Linked DNA regions of Macaca fascicularis. The protein of the gene in region 2 purifies or fractionates together with the protein of the main gene of each other region. This does not show direct contact. Links are inferred from orthologs where the notes say so. Each region holds a gene or a part of one and is shown on either strand. Other genes may lie near its edges. The genes, in order: LYN and GP6.

Region 1 (4,255 bases), on a different chromosome or scaffold from region 2:
TCCCATGGGTAACCCACCCCTTCTCTTCAGCAGTAAACTAACGACTACCTACCAGTGAACATCACAGGTATAAACCACCTTTCTTTTTTTCTTTTAAGGAATTAGTATGCAAACTTTAGTACTCCTTTCCTAGTAACAAATGACTGCTGTATCAGACTGTGTCACAAGGCAGCTGCTTTGACTTATTGCTCTGTAGCTGGGGCCAGCCTCTTCAGAACATTGTTAATGAGAGAAAGGAAGTGCTTTGGGCAGTGTCTGGCCCATCAGGCCCTCTGTAAATGTTTGCTATTAATGCAAAGACCAAGTCTCCCACAGTGTCCAATTTGTTTCCTTGTAAATTTTTCAAGGTACTGCAATGCTGGGATCCCAGTGAACATAATCTGGCGTAGAAGTGGGTATCCACTGACCGAGCCTAATCTTACATCTTGGATTTGTAAGTGGCATTTATTGAGTTGAACATGAGCTTAAGCACGCGGTCACACATTCTTTCAGCGAACACTGGTCAGGCACCTGCTACGTGCAAGCACTGCCCTACATGCTGGGATGCAGCTGTAGCAGGAATGAAATAACGCCAGCATTCCTGCATGCGGCCAGTGCGTGCCCTGTACAGAAAGGTACACGAGATAGGCATCCTTACATCCATTGTCCTGGGAGGAAACTGAGGCTTTGAGAAACGGAGAATCTGCCGGGCCCGTTGACTCCATGTCATCCCCTTCCACATCAATGCCCTGAACAGCCTCCTGTACACCCTTAAGGAACTTACTTCGTAATGATTACTAAGAACTCAACGAGACCCCGAGCATCACCTCGGCATATCGCGCGCGTCCTTTCTCTAGAGAACCCCAAATGTTGGAAGGCATCAGAGCGCACCTCCTCCGCTCCCGGGAGCACCCCCTTCCTGACACCTTGGGGATGGGTCGGAAGGAAAGGAAAGGAGACGCGAGAGGTATCGTCGATGTGCCTGCGAAGCCCAGGCTCCTCCGGAGATCGTTCCGTCCGTCCCTACAGTAGAAGGCTGGCCCAGGCTGTTCCACTCCCCGGAGCTGCCGACTGAGTCGCCAGGTTTCTGTGCCTTCAAAGCCCTGCGCGACGGCCACACCAAACACCCAAACCTTGGGCAGGGACCAAACGGTCACTTCCCCGCCCTCCGGGCTCAATATGCAAATCCGAGCACCAGGAAGTAGCTGGGACCTCTCGACCGAGCCCAGAGACAGCCAGTTCCTCTCCCGCCGCGCCGGGCCGCGCTGCCGCTCGCTCCCCGGCCGTGGCGCCTCCGGGCCCGACGCGCTGCAGCCTCCAGCCCGCGGCAAGCGGGGCGGCCGCGCCAACCCCGGCCCCGCGCCAGCAGCCCCTCGCCGCGCGTCCCGCGTTCCCGGCCAGCAGCCTCCCCCTACGCAGGTCCTGCTGGGCCGCCCCGTCGCGCCCCCTGCTCTGAACTCAAGTCACCGTGGAGCTCCGCCACCCCGAAACTTTCACCGCGAGCGGGTGAGTCCTCTGCGCGAACCCAAGTGTGGGCGCGGGCGCGCGGGCACGCGGGCCGGGGGTGCAGGGACCGCGGCTGTGCCACTAGCCAGAGTCCCGGGCGCAGGGTCGACTCGGGGCCAGGGGCATCGGCGCGGCCCGCGGCGGCTTCCTGGCCGCACAGCCTCCGGGCCTCGGCGGCGAAGGCTCTCAGATGTCTTCAGCCGGCGGGCGACCGGCCCCGGGGGAGCCAGGGTGCGGGGACCGAGGCTCCGCAGGTGTCAGCGGCTGAGCCGCGCAGGGGAGCGGTGGGAGGTGCGGGCGCGGGGGCGGGCTCACCGCGGGTCCTTCCCGGCGAGGGCCCGAGGGCCGGCTGCTGTCCCCGCTCCGGCCGCTCAGCGCGCACGGCGGCGAAGCCCGTGCCCTTGCGGAGCGGGCGCGCGGCAGGGATACTGGAGACAACTCCTCGGATTGTGCGATCTGGTCTCCCCTCTGGACCCTGGGTCCCCTGGAAGTGGGAGATGGGGCTCCGCCGGCGCCCTCTCGAGGCCCGCGGACAGCTGCCCTCCCTGGTGGCCCGGGGCAGGAGCGTGACGTCGAGGGTCTGCGGCGGAGGCTGGAGCTCACCCTCCCGCTGCGGCGCCTTTCGGCCTGCGGAGGAGCAGTCCGGTGCTTTTGCCGGCTGAGAGGAAGCGAGAGTTATTTTAAGAATTCAGGGGTTGCCTTTCCTTCGCCTTGGGGGAAGGGCGTAAGAGTCACTTCCCACTTTCCTGCTTTCTCTGGGCCCATGGTGGCATCTTTTGCTTGCGGTGCATTCGTAACTTTCCAACAGCCTGCCTGTCGTGTGAACTAGTGGTTGTATCTTCATTTCTTTGTATAACCGTGTGTGTTAATTATCCCAAATTCGCCCTTCTTCGCCGGCTCAGAATCCAGGCCTTGCACTTTTCTGGCTGTATATTTAGGGGACCGATTATTGAAATTCCCTGTTTGGGTTTCTTCATCTTTGAGAAAGCATATATACCTCAGGGACTGTTTAGTACACACAGAGCCCCTAGTACATACCAAACATTTCATAAACGATGTTACTGTTATTTATTGCAGTGACTTCTATTCATATAAACGAGGCTTCTTGGTTCTTTGCAGCCTGGTGATATTGAACCTAAGACTACCATGTCTGATTTAGCCATCTGACCTTATTAGTAAATCTGCTTAATAAATACATGAGGGATTTGCTGTCCCAAAGCAGGGCCCAGTAGTCTGACTTGCCCTAAAGAACTAGCCAATAAACTGGTGGGCTACAGGGATGTTTTCTCTCTACAGCCAACACCTAAAGCCATGCCCTGGGGAATAGGCACTGCAAGAGCCTAGACCTTACTAAGCCCTTCTCTGTAAGAGTAAGCTTTGTTGGGAAAGGGTGGGATCCAGTTAGTCCCTCCATTCTCATTTGGAGGTAAGCAGGTAAGTGCTTTCAGGCCTGAAGAAATTTCATTAGATCATAGAGTCTTTGGTGACTGGGTCTCTTTGGATGTAAATGTGTGGCCCTTTTGCTGAGTGAAGGATAGAGGGCAGCAGATGTAAGGGGAGAGAAAATAGGAGCGAGGAAACTTGGGTTTTGGCCTCTTCCATCATTTAATATGCTGTGATTTGGGATAAACCACTTGGGTCATTTATTTAGCCAACATTTCCTTTATAGCAGCAGTCAGAGTTATATTGATTTGTCTGCAGGTTGATAGTCTGTATTCACTATTACAGTGGAAGCTCCATGAAAACCGCTTCATCTGTCTTGTCCAAAATGATAGCCCCAGTGCCTGGTACATAGTAGGTGCTCAGTTCGAGATTAGTTGGAAGAAGGAATGAAGGGCTCCTGTGAGCTTGCCCTATGTAAAACTGAGGACATAGGGAGATGAAGAAATAGAGCTGGTCCCTAAAGTGTTTGAAGCCTACTGGCCCTTTCTGTTGTGGTTTCTAAAACGGGGATTTGAGAGGCTTTGTTGATTGTAAAGTTACCCAGCACTGAGTTATCCACATTTAGTGTTCTAAATGAGTCTCCACTCAGCACCGCTCTTCTCTACTTATCACTGGAAGAGAAGTCTTGATGTGGGGTGGTTAAGATGTTTCCTGCAAAGGTAGTTGGCCCAATCCAGAAGGCCCACATTATTTTAGAGTCATTGGTGTTACCAAGGTAGGTGGAAACTTTGTAATCCCGCCCCGGCCCCACCCCTCCAATAGCTTTCTTTTAGCAGAAAAGTGGTCCAGCACTGTTCAATGACTTTGAAAGCCTTTTACTTCTATCTGTAGTATTTGTTTTTAGAAATAAATCACCAAAAACAGCTGAGATTCCAGTTGGTTCACATGACTATGTGGAGTTGTAACTTAACAAAATTAAATCATATTATTCATGTACAAACCCATACTAACTTTATAAATAAGGATACAATGTATACATGCCCACAGCAGGGAACGTCGTTATAAGCTCACTCCTACTGATGATCTCAGTGATGCATGGATGAGTGTTAACATTGAAAGGCCACCACAATCATTAGTCAGGACATTGATCAATGTCATGTTGACAGCAGAGATAGCCTCAGACCTTTTCTGGCTCTTCCTAGCGATGATGGTGAAAGTGTTAGCACCTTTCATTAGTTCAGGGCTCTGAAGTCTTCCTGAACTCGAATTTCATTTGAACCTCTTGTGGCTCCTATAGGATGGAGAAGGACAGATAAAGAAAAAGATTCAGGGGGTTGTCTAAAGTCACGGGCTTGGTTAAGTGGTACCATTAGGCGTAGTAGGTATG
Region 2 (4,289 bases):
ACACCCAGCTAGCTTTTGTATTTTTAGTAGAGATGGGGTTTCACCATGTTAACCAGGCTGGTCTCGAACTCCTGATCTCAAGTGATCCACCCGCCTCAGCCTCCCAAAGTGCTGGGATTACAGGCGTGAGCCTGGCCGGGCGCGGTGGCTCAAGCCTGTAATCCCAGCACTTTGGGAGGCCGAGGCGGGTGGATCACGAGGTCAGGAGATCGAGACTATCCTGGCTAACATGGTGAAACCCCGTCTCTACTAAAAATACAAAAAACTAGCCGGGCGTGGTGGCGGGCGCCTGTAGTCTCAGCTACTTGGGAGGCTGAGGCGGGAGAATGGCGTGAACCCGGGAGGCGGAGCTTGCAGTGAGCCGAGATCACATGCCACTGCACTCCAGCCTGGGCGACAGAGCGAGACTCCGTCTCAAAAAAAAAAAATAAACAAAAAAAAAAAAAATAAATAAAATACAGGCGTGAGCCACCGCGCCCGGCTGATTTTTATTCTTTTAATGAAGGTTGGTTGATGTTACCTTGTCTGTATATACCGCACGTTGTTTATCCATTGTTGTTGATGAATATTTGGCTGGTTTCACCTCTTGGCTATTGTGAATAAAGCTGCTAGGAACACTGGTGTACAAATATGTTCGAGATCCTGTTTTCGATTCTTTTAGGTGTATACGCAGAAGTGGAATTGCTGGATTTTACGGCAATCCCACGTTTAACTTTTGGAGGAGCTGCTAAAACTGTTTTCCACAGCAGTGGCACCATGTTATGTCCCCGCCAGCAAGGCACGCGCAGTCCAACTTCTCTGCATACTCACCAACGTTTGCTGTTTTCCATTAAAAAAAATTATAGCTGGTCGGGCGCAGTGGCTCATGCCTGTAATCCCAGCCCTTTGGGAGGCCAATGTGGGCGGATCACCTGAAGTTCGGAGTTCAAGACCAGCCTGGCCAATGTGGTGAAACCCCATCTCTACTAAAAATACAAAAATTAGCCCAGCGTGGTGGTGCACACCTATAACCCCAGCCACTTGGGAGGCTGAGGCCGGAGAATCACTTGAACCAAGGAGGTGGAGGTTGTAGTGGGCCGAGATGGCGCCACTGCACTCCAGCCTGGGCAAAAAGAGCGAGACTCTGTCTGGGAAAAAAAAAAAAAAAAAATTATAGCCATCCCAGAAGTTGTGAAGTCATATCTCACTGTGGTTTTGATGAGTATTTTCCTAGCGACATCAGGGAGTTTATGGGAGCACGGGAACACAGGCCAGGCCCCAGCAGGCGGACGAACGGTGCAACGCCAGGCTGGCCAGAGGAGATAAGCGCGGCTCCTTGGAGCTTGTGTGCAAGTCACTGTCCTGGGGAGCCGGCTACGGCTCGATGAGTCTCAATTAGGAAAGGCCGGGGCTGGCGGAGGAAGGGAGGAGAGCATTCTTCATCCTCATCACATCCTGAGCCCGTGCCCAGGCTCCCACCACTTCCCTCCCGGGCCACAGAACCCAGGACAGGGCTGAGGAACCATGTCTCCATCCCCGACCACCCTCTTCTGTCTCGGTGAGTCCTGAGGGTCGATCTGGGAAGTGCTGAAAGACAGGCCTAGACTGCCAGACAAAGGATTTTTTAAGAAATTTGCATCGGTGATGAATTTCAGGACAAAAAGGGACCTATGAGAGCCCCTTCATTGGTTGGGTGGGGAAGCGGAGGGCCAGCGAGGTGGTGTATTTTGCCTGAGTTATTCCAGTGTATTCGTGGCTGGGTCAGGAAATGAACAGAGGTGTCCTAGCATTGGTCACAACTTTGTTCTACGACACTGCAGTTGCCCCTTTTTAAATAACTGTGGGCCAGGCACGGTGGCTCATGCCTGTAATCTCAACTTTGGGAGGCCAAGGTGGGTGGATCACCTGAGGTCAGGAGTTCACGACCAGCCTGGCCAACATGGCGAAACCCCGTCTCTACAAAAATTAGCCGGGCATGACGGGGCGGTGCCTGTAATCCCAGCTACTCGAGAGGCTGAGGTGGGAGAATTGCTTGAAACCGGGAGGCAGAAGTTGCAGTGAGCTGAGGTCAGGCATTGCACTCCAGCCTGGGCAACAGAGAGAGACTCCGTCTCAAAAAACCGCTGAGTGCCGTGGCTCACGCACTTTGGGAGACCGAGGCGGACGGATCACCTGAGGTTGGGAGTTGGAGACCAGCCTGACCAACATGGAGAAACCCCATCTCTACTGAAAATACAAAATTATCTGGGCGTGGTGGCGCATGCCTGTAATCCCAGCTACTCTGGAGGCTGAGGCAGGAGAATCGCTTGAATCTGGGAGGCGGAGGTTGCAGTGAGCCGAGATCACGCCATTACACTCCGGCCTGGGCAACAAGAGCAAAACTCCATCTCAAAAAAACAAACAAAAATTGTGGACTTGATGATATCTGGACTAGGTTATGGATTTAATTTGTCAGTATCCCCTACAGCAGTGGAGTAAATAAGAGTCTCCTGACCGATGGGTGGCAGGTCGAATGCATTTCCACTGCCTGCTCTTCACTTGTGCTGGGCATGTCGAATGCATTGTTTCCTGATTTCTTCAGGAGAATTTGACCACTAAAGGGACAGCATCTCCAAAAGGCTAAGCAGGAAGGAGATGGTTGTGTTACTGGAGATGAGAGGGTTAACTGTGAATATAAACAACCTCTCATTCATTATCCATCCACGGATGTATTCTTTAACTTTTTTTTTTTTTTTTTTTTTGAGATGGAGTCTCACTCTGTTGGTTGCTCAGGCTGGAGTGCAGTGGCACGATCTTGGCTCACTGCAAACTCTGCCTCCTGGGTCCAAGTGATTCTCCTGCTTCAGCCTCCGAAGTAGCTGGGATTACAGGCATCCACCGCCAGGTCCGGCTAATTTTTATATTTTTAGTAGAGACGGGGTTTCACCATGTTGACCAGGCTGGACTTGAACTCCTGACTTCAGGTGATCTACCCGCCTCGGCCTCCCAAAGTGCTGGGGTTACAGGCGTGAGCCACCGCATCCGGCCTGTTTTAACTTTTATTTATTTAATTTTACTTGAGACAGGGCCTCACTTCTGTCACCCAGGCTGGAGTGCAGTGGCATGATCATGGCTCACTCTAGCCTCAACCTCCCAGGCTCAACCAATCCTTCCCCATCAGTCTCCTGAGTAGCTGGAACTACAGTTGCACACCATCATGCCTGGCTCATTTTTGTAATTTTTGTAGTTATGGGGTCTCACTATGCTGCCCAGGCTGGTCTCGAACTCTTGGGTTCAAGCGATCCACCTACCTCGGCCTCCCACAGTGTTGGGGTTACAGGTTTGACCTGTACAGGTTACTGCATCTGGCTTAATTTTTGCTTCAATTGCTTTTGGGATACAAGTGGTTGTTGGTTACATGGATGAACTATATAGTGGTGAATTCTGAGATTTTAGTGCCCCTGTCACTTGAGTAGTATACCTTGTACCTAATGTGTAGTTTTTCATCCCTACCCACCTTCTGCCCTTCTCTTCTGAGTCTCTGAAGTCCATTACATCACCCTGTATGCCTTTGCATACCCACAGCTTAGCTCTCACTTGTAAGTGAGAACATACAGATTTTTGTTTTCCACTCCTGTGTTACTTTACTTAGAATAATGTCTCCAGCTACATCCAAGTTGCTGCAAGACATTTTTTTTTTTTTGAGCTGGAATCTCGCTGTTGCCGAGACTGGAGTACAGCAGCGTGATCTTGGCTCACTGCAACCTCCTCCTCCCGGGTTCAAGCAATTCTCCTGCCTCAGCCTCCCGAGTAGCTGGGACTACAGGCGCCGTCACCACGCCCGGCTAATTTTTGTATTTTTAGTAGAGACGGGTTTCACCATGTTAGCCAGGATGGTCTTGATCTCTTGACCTCATGATCCACCCGCCTCGGCCTCCCAGAGTGCTGGCATTACAGGTGTGAGCCACTGTGCCTGGCCAAAGGACATTATTTTGTTCCTTTTAATGGCTGAGTAGTATTCCACACTCATTTATTTTTACTTATTTTTTGACACAGAGTCTCACTCTGTCGCCCAGGCTGGAGTGCAGTGGTGTGATGTCAGCTCACTGCAACCTCCATCTCCCAGGTTCAAGTGATTCTCCTGCCTCAGCCTCCTGAGTAGCTGGGATTACAGGCTCCTACCACTACGCCCAGCTTATTTTTGTACTTTTACTAGAGACAGGGCTTCCCATGTTGGTCAGGCTGGTCTTTAACTCCTGACTTCAGGTGATCCACCCGCCTTGGCTTCCCAAAATGCTGGGATTACAGGTGTGAGCCACTGCGCCTGGCCA

The links.
Region 1: the proteins of GP6 (region 2) and LYN purify together in Homo sapiens (affinity purification with western blotting; 5 studies listed by BioGRID and IntAct, with this or other methods). This does not show direct contact. The link is inferred for Macaca fascicularis from reciprocal best matches to the Homo sapiens genes GP6 and LYN.

The regions. Positions count from the first base shown.
Region 1 is NC_088382.1:65,848,492-65,852,746, forward strand, and holds the start of LYN (tyrosine-protein kinase Lyn), read left to right. Parts: upstream 1-1,155; 5' UTR 1,156-1,158; coding exon 1,159-1,485; intron 1,486-4,255. UniProt on the Homo sapiens protein: Non-receptor tyrosine-protein kinase that transmits signals from cell surface receptors and plays an important role in the regulation of innate and adaptive immune responses, hematopoiesis, responses to growth factors and cytokines, integrin signaling, but also responses to DNA damage and genotoxic agents.
Region 2 is NC_088393.1:62,910,650-62,914,938, reverse strand, and holds the start of GP6 (platelet glycoprotein VI), read left to right. Parts: upstream 1-1,459; 5' UTR 1,460-1,503; coding exon 1,504-1,537; intron 1,538-4,289.